2 linked regions of the Drosophila melanogaster genome follow. The protein of the gene in region 2 purifies or fractionates together with the protein of the main gene of each other region. This does not show direct contact. Each region holds a gene or a part of one and is shown on either strand. Other genes may lie near its edges.

Region 1 (5,228 bases), on a different chromosome or scaffold from region 2:
TAATTAAGGCCGTCGACTTGGTAAAAGCCAAAAATTAATAAACGCAACACGTGCAGCGATTTTGTTGGCTGTTTTGCGAGGATGTTTTTTCTATTTTCCCTCAACACTTGGTGGGTGGATGGAACGCCAAGGCCTCCTGGACATGGGCAATCGCAAAGTTTGTCGAGCAAGGCGCTTTGAAGTCTAATAGGATTAGTTCGCACAAATGTGGGCGTGTCTGTCTATGACAAATAAACGCCCTTCTGCGGCTGTGTATCTGTATTTCTTTGCTATAAATAATATTCAATATTGCTAAGCAAATATTTGGCATGCGAATATTCCTAGACGAGGATTTCTTATATCAGTAAATATTTATCATATCCATGGCTGGCTTGCTTGAGGCCAACGAAAACGAGTAATCTCTGTTTTGCCTTGAAAAAGTAATAAATAAAAATCTGTAAAATTCTTTGGTCTCCCCGGGTGGTAAATTGGGACTATTAGATACATTATAAGCTTACCAAAAGTTTCTTGGCTAAAGCTATCTACCCACTGCATTCATTAGGTGTCAATACTCGCTTGTATTACTGCCTGCACATATTACAATACATTTATTTTTGTAGAGTGTAATTAGAAACGATAAAACACCACATAAACGCGCACAAGTTTGGTTAGTTATAAGTTAATAGCAAAAAGTGTATATGATTCCAAGAGTTTTCCGTTTTCAAGTCCGTTTCCATTGATTCTTAAAATCATCTCTGTTAGTTGGAGCAATCATCTAGGCCTTGTCAATCACACGATCATTGAAGACAATCCTTAAATCGGTCTTGGCCATGTTGCCAAAGGCACCGACCAATTCGGTGAGATTGGCATTGGGCAGGCGCCTATCGAAGGGATAGCCCATGGTGCGTCTGTCAGGATACAATTTGTCCTTCAGACCACAGAACGAGTACGCCGTGCTGCAGGCATCGTTGGGTCTAATGGGCGACAAGGAGAATGTCAGCTGATGATGGGAAATTGGGTTTATAGCACTCACGTTTTGGGCTGCTCAACGGAGTCCTGCGAGTAATCGGAAATCATGACGAACAGGTCGAAGACCATTCCCTGGGCATTGCCCTTGGGCAGCAGGAGATGCTGTGGCCACCCACATCCGCAAAACTTGAAGCGTGCCAACTCATCGGCGGCCTTGGGCTGATAGTCTGCTCCAACCGGGCGGAATGAGCGCTCGAAGGGAATGGCCACCGAGGACTCTGTCGACTGGCGGCGTATGGTGTTCTCACCAGGCACCACTGGGGATTAATTAAAGTATGTTAATAGATCGTAGGAGGTTGTCAGTAGGGAAAAGTATAAGCTAAAATCACTGGCTAGCTTTGTACGAAAGAAACACTTTTTAAATACCAAAATATTAAATAAATATATATACTAAGAAATACAGTTATTACTCACAATCAACTGTGAACTTGTCCATTTCGATGGCCAACAGTCGCTGCTCCTCCAGATTCAAAGCCTGATTACGCTCATCCACCTTGGGGCAGATGAAGATACGGCAAGTACCCGTTCGTCTGGCTCCATTATTGGTCACATTGAATGTATAAGTGAAGGGGGCATTCTGGAGATGGGTGAACGAGGCGAATATGTTGCGATCGGTCGTTGGTCCAAAGTCCAGGCCAGCTGCCAAGTCGGCACTCGACTTCTGCCAGTAGGTCAACAGGGTGTTGGCCTTGGTATTGGACTTGCCAATCTTGGCCTCAATGTAGTCCACGGTAATACCATCGAAGTTAAGCTCACCGGCATTGTACGGGTTCAGGCGAGTCTTGAATTTGTTGAACACCGTGTCGATGAATCCGTGCCACCTGTAGAAGATTGGATCCCTCATGGCCGTGGTCACATCGCCCATCACACCGAATTCCTCCAAGTGACGGTAATCGGGATCGTGGGCAAAGGAGATTATGTTGTGCCCCTCGTTGTGTAGATTGCCATAGAAATTATAGTTGATGGATAGGACTGGCGATGCCTCAATCATGTTGCCCAGGATATCGATGCCACGAACTTCGTCCAATGGTATACGATTGCCAGAAGACTATGGATTAGCAAATAAAAATTTCTAGTGCTTTCTATGACCTATGCTCAATATTCCAAACGGGCCCAACTCACATCTTCAACGTATCCTTGATCTATGGCAGCCAGCACGCGATCACGCCAGCGCTCCACATCGGAGATCTCCACACGCCCATCATGGCGGTCCACGTCCCTCAGCTTTTGGTTGGTCACTCGGGCGGGATAGGTGCGGTTATTCGTGCTGGACAGGATCTTGGGGAAGTAGCCCTCGGGAACCTCCACACGCAGATTGTTCAGCGGCTGAACCTTCTTCAGATTGTTGCAGAAGCGCTCCACATTGTAGCGCGCGAGTATCTGGTGGTGCATGTAGTAGAAGAGCTCGCCACGACGATCCTTGTTGACCACCTCCGTGGGTCCGGTGGTCGGGTAGACCAAGTGCCAGTGCCAATGATGGCTATTAACACCGATGTCCTCACGGAAGTACGCCAGGCGCTGTTCATCCTCGCGATCCGAGGCCGTGTAGTTTTGCGGAATGTCCACATGGACACGAGCGCCGCTCTCTCCAATAACAGAAGCTTCCTGACGGGCATCCTGTGGTCAAATTTATAAATACACCATTAAAGACTTTGATTGGTCAAATAAAGAAGAACTTAAACGAACCCGGAAGGCGGAAGGTTCTACAAAGTTGCTCGGAAAGATCTGGGAAATGTTGGTAATGGGCACTTCACGCGTATCCGGGCGATGGGCAACGGCGACGGCATAGGCGTATTGGAACAACACAGGATTCACACGATCCCTAAAAAATTAATACATTATACAATACATATATATTTATTTTAGTACAAGTACTTACTTGGTGTAAACGGAAAGCGACACGAATTGTCTGAGATTTGGTGCGCTCATGAAGAGGGTGATCAGCTCGCTGGCGATCTCACGATGGCGATTGTTAAACAGCGAAAATTGATTCTTGAGACCAATCTTTTTGGTGAACTCCAGACTGGGAACGTTGCTCAACTCCTGAATTGGGATCTTCAGATCCACGTCCTTAGAGAATCGATTGCCCACCTCCTCGGTGTCATTGCGATAGCGATCCGTATAGAAGGAATCGGGCAGTTCCAATACAGTTTTTCCGGAGTCACGAGTGGTGAATGCCGGTTCCAGGGGTCGCTGGAACATAAGTTCCAAGGCTTTCAGATCCGTGTTAGTCATGGTTTTCTCTATGGATGTACACTTTCAACTACACTTTTAACTTCACTCAACGAAGCCAGTTGCAGAACTGTGATTTTCCCAGGAAGCCGAACTCATTTTATAGCTAACTAGCAGTCCGAATATAAAAATAATATTTTTAAAAATATTCATTATCAAGTCCCAACCGCAAAACTGCAATGGTCGAGCCTTTTTTCTCACAAATCCAAACGTTGTGGTTTAGTCGATAGCTTCTGAAAAAGCAAAAAGTGCAATACCGCAAAAGTTGTTGAGCCGCAAAATGATAAGAGAAATACTTTTAATTGCTTGCATAAAATAATATACCATTGTTGATTTTCAGTTGAATGTTGTTAAACGTGAAACTGTATTGAGCTTGTTAGATACATATACTGATTTTTTTTCAATACTGCACTGCCTAATGTATACCCACAACCAATTAATTGTTTTCAACTTTTTGAAGAGTTATTAGTTCCGGGGTAGGAAGCTTAAATTGAATTTCTTTGTCTTTGCCGAAAAAGTATCCGAGAAACCTTTTTGCGACCACGCGAAATACAACTCCCAAAGTAAACAAGCCGAAGGCCACCGGAAAAGCTTCTTATTCGCATAGAAATAACACCGAATACTTGCTCAACAGGCTGCCACGCCCCCTTAAAAAGAACCGCCCATCGCCGAATGGGAGGCCATAAATTTGGCTTGGAGCAGAGGGCTCGTCCTTCGACATGGCCCATAAATTTGGTTTTTGAAATGGCAGTGTGTAGCTGAATGTAACTAAGAACTAACTGGCAAGAGAGCTTGGATGATTAAAATATCTATACTGTAAATCAATTTTTGTCGCTACGCCGTCTGGCCAAATGAACGATGTTGGCCAAAAAGCAAAGCGAATGGCCAAACTTTTGGCCATTGTCAATAATAAATGTTTCTGCCGACTTTGGCGTTGAAATGTGTGCGCATTAATCTGTGAAATTGACAGCAACAAAAACGAGCGTAACAAGTTTGCATAAATGTGCGGGTTTCGGGCGAAAATTGAAAAGATGAATTTTCACAATTTCTGCACTCTGGCCATAACAACATGAAAATGACTTTTCTGCTCGACTTTGTTTTGCTAATGTCGATGTTCCAGCAGATACACCATCTTTTCAGTTTATGAACTATGTACGGTAAGCAATGTAAGCCAAATTTGACTACCATCAATTGAATTTTTGTTTGAAATAACTTAGGCAAGAATATTTTATACGATTTTTTGTAGATTCTTTTAAACCATGCATACCACTTATGTATGTAATATAGTAATATATTGCAGAGTATATTGAAGTTGGCTTTTCCTAGAAAACACTTGACTGCACGCAAACATTTATCCGAGCAATGTAATTTTTCATTGAATATTCAACGACAGCCATGGCAAATGTGCTCCAGATTCCAGCCCAAAAGACAAACTTGCTTTAATTAATTATAAATTGTGGAAAAGTGTGTGCTTCTGCGAACTTGGCAGTGTGAATTGAATTAGAATGAAAATGGGCCAAAGCAAAAGCTTTAGGCCAGGACACGTGCAGAGCCTGCTTTCACCGGCGAAACAGAACAAAAAAAAAGGAAAAAACCCAAACTTTTACCAACAAGTCTTAAAAACCACGCAAGTTTGTAAAAGGCGCCAAGCACTCTTTCTGTTTGGCTTTATGGGCGAAAGTCTGGTCCATAAAATGAGCTGTGGGTATGCGTTAATTACCCGCTGGCTTAAATTTTACATTTTGGCTTAAGCACTCTGCGGCCAGGTTCGAAAACACATGATGCCTCCGCCCCAAAGAACATTCCAAACTATTCATTAGTTGTGGGCCAACCGCAGGAATTTGCGGCAGTGTGTTATCAAAATTTCGAGTGGGCTACGCTTTCAATTGTTTGCCCACTTGGGCACCAAACTGATTAAAGTTTCATGGCTCTAATCTGTTTGCAACTTATCAGCTCCATTAATGTGGGTGGGCTTTCATGAACAGGGA
Region 2 (4,835 bases):
GAATCCCCGGGTTTGTTGCAATGATACGACTTTCTATGGAGGCGTCTCTACACAATAACGCTAAGAAATTCAGTAGCATACAATACTTTTATAACATCTCAATTTTATGTCTCTCTAGATAGTCAATGATGATTACTTAATAGCATTTTTTTAATCATAGTGTATAGTTTTTCTCGCTGTGTACGATTGATTGACGGATCACAAAAGGTTGTTGGCTTTTTGCCTGTCAATTTACGGAGTCTGTTGCACAAATCTCCGCAGGTTGTGCGATGGCAAGAAATTACAGATGCCATTATTAGCATTGGAAATGAATTGAGTTGCCCGCAGAGTCATGATCCACGGCTTGCTTTTCGAAAATGATGTCAGGATATAGGAGTATTAAGCCAAAAAAAAAAGAACAATACGCGATGCAGCTGAAGTATCACACGGATCACCATTCACTCGGAATTGTGCGAATTGAGGAATTCGAGGCTGCAGAATATGCTAATTTTCACCAGCCGGCAGGCAATTGTCTCTGATACACATGGTATAATACGTATACGCCCCCTTGCATCTTCCGCGGATGATGTAATGCTGACTCAATTAGGGAGCGCACATCGCACAAAGCCACCGCACATCGGAGTCAACAAAATTGCATGACTACCACCTTATGAGCGCCGGAAAAAAAGCAACCAGAAGATCTGCAGACAATGGTTGGTATATACATATGTACCATATGAGTTCATATATCTCCGACTTCCAACAGCCAATCGGACACGCCCCATTGCACAGATGTGAATATCTCGGCATTCTGAAGCCGATGAAGCGATGATCGCGGGGGCACAAGCCATAACATAACAGTTCTCATACTTCGCTAATGAGTCGCATAAATTTCACTACTTTGTAGATCGAGTCGAAAGCACACAGAAAAAAAAAACTAATGCGCAATACAGCAGCTTAAAAAGGAATTAATCTAAACATTATTTGATATAAGAAACGTGGATCATTTCTTATGCTAAACAGTAACAATTTGTGTTGTCAGATAAATTCAGATTCAGATCATTCAGATAAATATCCCTGTTTGTCACTCCATTATATGTTTGTTTACTTCAGAGCAGAGATGCTTTTAAATTTTGGAATTCGAAACTGAAAGCTTACATTTGAAACACGTTCTTCGGGCTTTTTAAGGTCATAACTTTCACAATAAACACAAAGTTATACGTGACAAGTGCGCCCCAGAAACACCCAAAAACTCAAAGTGAATCCCAGACATGGAAGAAATACTACCCATAACACCCGCGGTGGGATGAAATTGACAATGGTCGACTATACGTGCCTGCAATTTATGATATACACAAAGGGAAAATTCAAATAAAAACAATAAATAAAAGGAAGATGCGTTGACAAAGAAATGATTGCCACAATTTGCATGTTTGGGGTTAACGGAATGCGAAATAAATTTACTATTAATCAATGGGTTGCATCACTTTCAACACAAATAAACTATAAAATCGGAGAGGAAACTTCGGCCTTGACTTGCTTAATTTAATGCTATAGATTTCATGATATACACTTTATAAATAACTTCAATATTGGAAAATAGGAAACTCGAAACCATGCGATATTTACAAATATTTATGTAAGCTTTATCAACAGTTCATTGAAATATAAATAAATAAATATTTTATAAATAGAAGATCAATGAAATTGTTTATATTTCAGCATGTAGATCAATGAACTTCAAGGTGTTAAATTGTATAATTTACACACCGCCAAAGGTGTCAAGTGCCTTATCAATTCTGCCAACAACAGCCGTTAATTTACATTATTAGCACAAAAATCCAATTAAAAAGCCCTCCACTTTCGAAGGTTCTTTCCCACCGTTTGGAAATAAAAAAATTTCTATTTCGCCCAAGAAGAACGAAAAAGAAATCAGTGTCAATGAAAATGAAAAAAAGGTTTGACCACCGAGCTTTGACTGAACTTTCAAGAACAAAACAAACCCAGGAAACACAGCGAGAAACGGGTAGGGGAAGCTACTATGACAACAAGTTTCTTGGCAGTCAATGATGTCGACCCATTTTGTTGCGGCTTTTTGAAGAAAGTATTTTCTCAGCGGCCATTGAGTATTTGCCGCATTGAAGATGTAAACACGACGCATTTGCTGGCCAACAACCACAGATACACAGCAAAAAAAATCATAAGCAAATGATTACCAACAAAATCGAAGATACAAATTGAAGATCTAATGAAGAAGTAAAATGTCTAATTGCCGTAATTGTATTTATATATACAATTTATAATATTGATAATATTGATAATTAAAAAAACTGTGATATTAATTTTTCTTATAATCAGATTGGTAACAATTGTTGATAAATGTCAAAGAATGCAACTACGAACAGAATCTACTTCTCGTTGATAAGAGACATACCAATATAATCTGATAATGGGCTACGATAGATATAATTCTTTTCTTTTTTTTTTTGCTGTGCATCGATTGTGGCCGATTTAAGGCCAAGAACTTGCGCGGCAAGTGAACTATGTATGCATTTGGCTCCAAGCCTGTTTGCAGCGGTCCCAAAGGGGTGTGGGAAAGAAGGAGGGGAGGGGAAGGGAGCGGTGCAACCTGTTTGATTCAGCCATGTGGAGTTCTCTTGGCCAGCCTGCGATGGCCCGTTGTTTATCGAAACGAATACCCGTTGAAAGTCAAAGTTGGCATAGAATCCGGTGGTCACATTTCAGCGAATATTAAAAATAGTGATCGCCTCAATGCGCCCAATTAAAACTAGAATTTTGATCGCATAACGGCGATGCGGTGACAATGGTCATTTTGTATTGGCGTGGAGCTTTTGGAGCGGACTCAACGGTATCTGATTGATATGGGCCACTTATTATCTATTATTCCCGTCACATTTCGCACTATGCCTTTTACTTGATTTACAGTTGAAATCACAGCTTTTCGTGTCTCGTTTTTCGTTTTTCTTTTGTCTACGAATGGCATTAATTGTAACTTTGCCGGGTCCGAGGAATATTCACTCGGCTAATTTGATAACGGCAATTGCCGGACAGCTATCATTCTTGATTCAAATCGTAGGCGCGCACTCGAGAAATCCGAGAAAACGAAGAAAAGCGAAAAGAAAGGGGAATCGCGAGAATCGTAATTGAGATCGTATTTGCAGACGGAGTCCGCTCTTTTCTATCGCGACCGTCGCGCTCTGCTCTGAACTTCCGACTGAAGCGGGCTCCAAAGTTGTCACGGCACTCGAGCTTCTCCGGAAAGCTCTCTCATCAGCTGAGACCGGCTTTTTTATGGCCCCAACATGCGATGATCTCCAATGCATTGGGGGTATTCACAAGTGTGCTTGCAATCGTACTAGTTGCGGACAGTGCACTAGATACGATCTTAGCTACATAAATAGTACGATATAATAAAGATACCTGACATCTTAGTCTAGACATGCTAACAAAATGTTTGTCATCGCAAGATATACCTTAAAATTACTCACCTATCTACTCCATCGGCATTCGTGTAGTTGCTGATGTAGCTGCCCACCAGACTGCTCAGATCGCAGTCGAAACTTGCGGACAGTGTGTAGGCCTTGTTCATACTGAGGACCTCTCTTAGCGTGATCAGGAGCAGCTCCCGGGACTCATCCAAGTTGATGCTATCGATGGCCACGCGTATGCGCGCCATCATGTTCAGGATGCTGATGCTGTGCACATTGAGCTCCTTGGCGTGCAGGACGATCAGGTTGGTGATCGCGTTCAGCTGGAACTGAATGGACACGGTTCCCTCACAGGCGCCGGTCGTCAAGTCGGGATGGTAGTACACCTTGTACTTGATGGGCGTCAGTTCCGTGGGCAGGCGCCATTCGATCTGCGGGGTCGTAAAGTTTATTTAATATCCACGCCATCGATAATGGGCTTTGGCCCTATTAAGTGAGCAATGCGTTGATAAGGTGGCGATAGGAAATAGCACTGTTGTGGTCAGGTCGTAAACCAAGTGGACGTCGTTGCAACAAATATGCCTTAGCTGGATATAGTGGCTAAATGTTGTGAAATTAGGGTCCTAATTTATTAGGTGCAATTTCAGATATCAAACAACAATAGCTCTACTACACAAATATTGAAACCTAAGCGTATTTTGGTTTCTTATCCGTTTGCCTTTATTGCTTTATTGCTTTAACCATTTTTGGAAATAGATATGGATTTGAAAGCCATCTTTTTGAATGTTTGCCAGCACCCTAATTCTTATGAATTTCTTTCCGAAATGGTGGACAACAAGTGGCTTTGAATGTATTCCTCCAGAACATCCAACATCCTTTTGGCTTCGTCCAACTGCAGCAATAAATTATCCCTGTGGACGGCCACAATGACAAGGGCAACGATCAAGCAGGTCGATAATAGACCAAAGAATATAGCCACGCGCTCAGCGGTGATCAAGTCTATGAAAATATACATGAATCGGTATCGGTGTTTTCCCAAAACTTCCTTCGTTATCAATAAATACCCTTAATCCTGTCCTGCATGTGTCCCATTTTTGTGGCTCCTAACACTGCGTTAGCCGCAATTAAACTAACTTAAAAGACCCAAGAAATTAGACCCGTTTTGTATTATGATAAAAAAGAGGAAAAAAAACGCTAGCCAAGCGATAAGCACTTGAAATGACCAGTAAGACTAAGTTGGAACTTAATAAATTCGAAATTAGTAGCCATGCCGACTTTACGTCTAATCGCTGAAAATTTTCCCACTCTGTGTGAGGGTTTTTCTGAACTAACATCTTTTATAGCCGTGAAATATATTTTTCTTGCACTTCACTCACCTTTTCAGGATCAGGAAGTCCTGTCGGCAAT

Evidence for each region.
Region 1: the proteins of CG32473 (region 2) and PPO1 purify together in Drosophila melanogaster (affinity purification with mass spectrometry, with the first as the bait; one large-scale study listed by BioGRID). This does not show direct contact.

The regions. Positions count from the first base shown.
Region 1 is NT_033778.4:17,886,658-17,891,885, forward strand, and holds PPO1 (prophenoloxidase 1), read right to left. Parts: upstream 3,317-5,228; 5' UTR 3,244-3,316; coding exon 2,888-3,243; intron 2,831-2,887; coding exon 2,695-2,830; intron 2,626-2,694; coding exon 2,131-2,625; intron 2,057-2,130; coding exon 1,423-2,056; intron 1,266-1,422; coding exon 1,013-1,265; intron 954-1,012; coding exon 755-953; 3' UTR 563-754; downstream 1-562.
Region 2 is NT_033777.3:13,303,150-13,307,984, reverse strand, and holds the start of CG32473 (uncharacterized protein), read right to left. Parts: upstream 3,222-4,835; 5' UTR 2,915-3,221; intron 1-2,914. Other genes in the region: CG43208 (uncharacterized protein), read right to left, coding at 4,234-4,427, 4,493-4,520.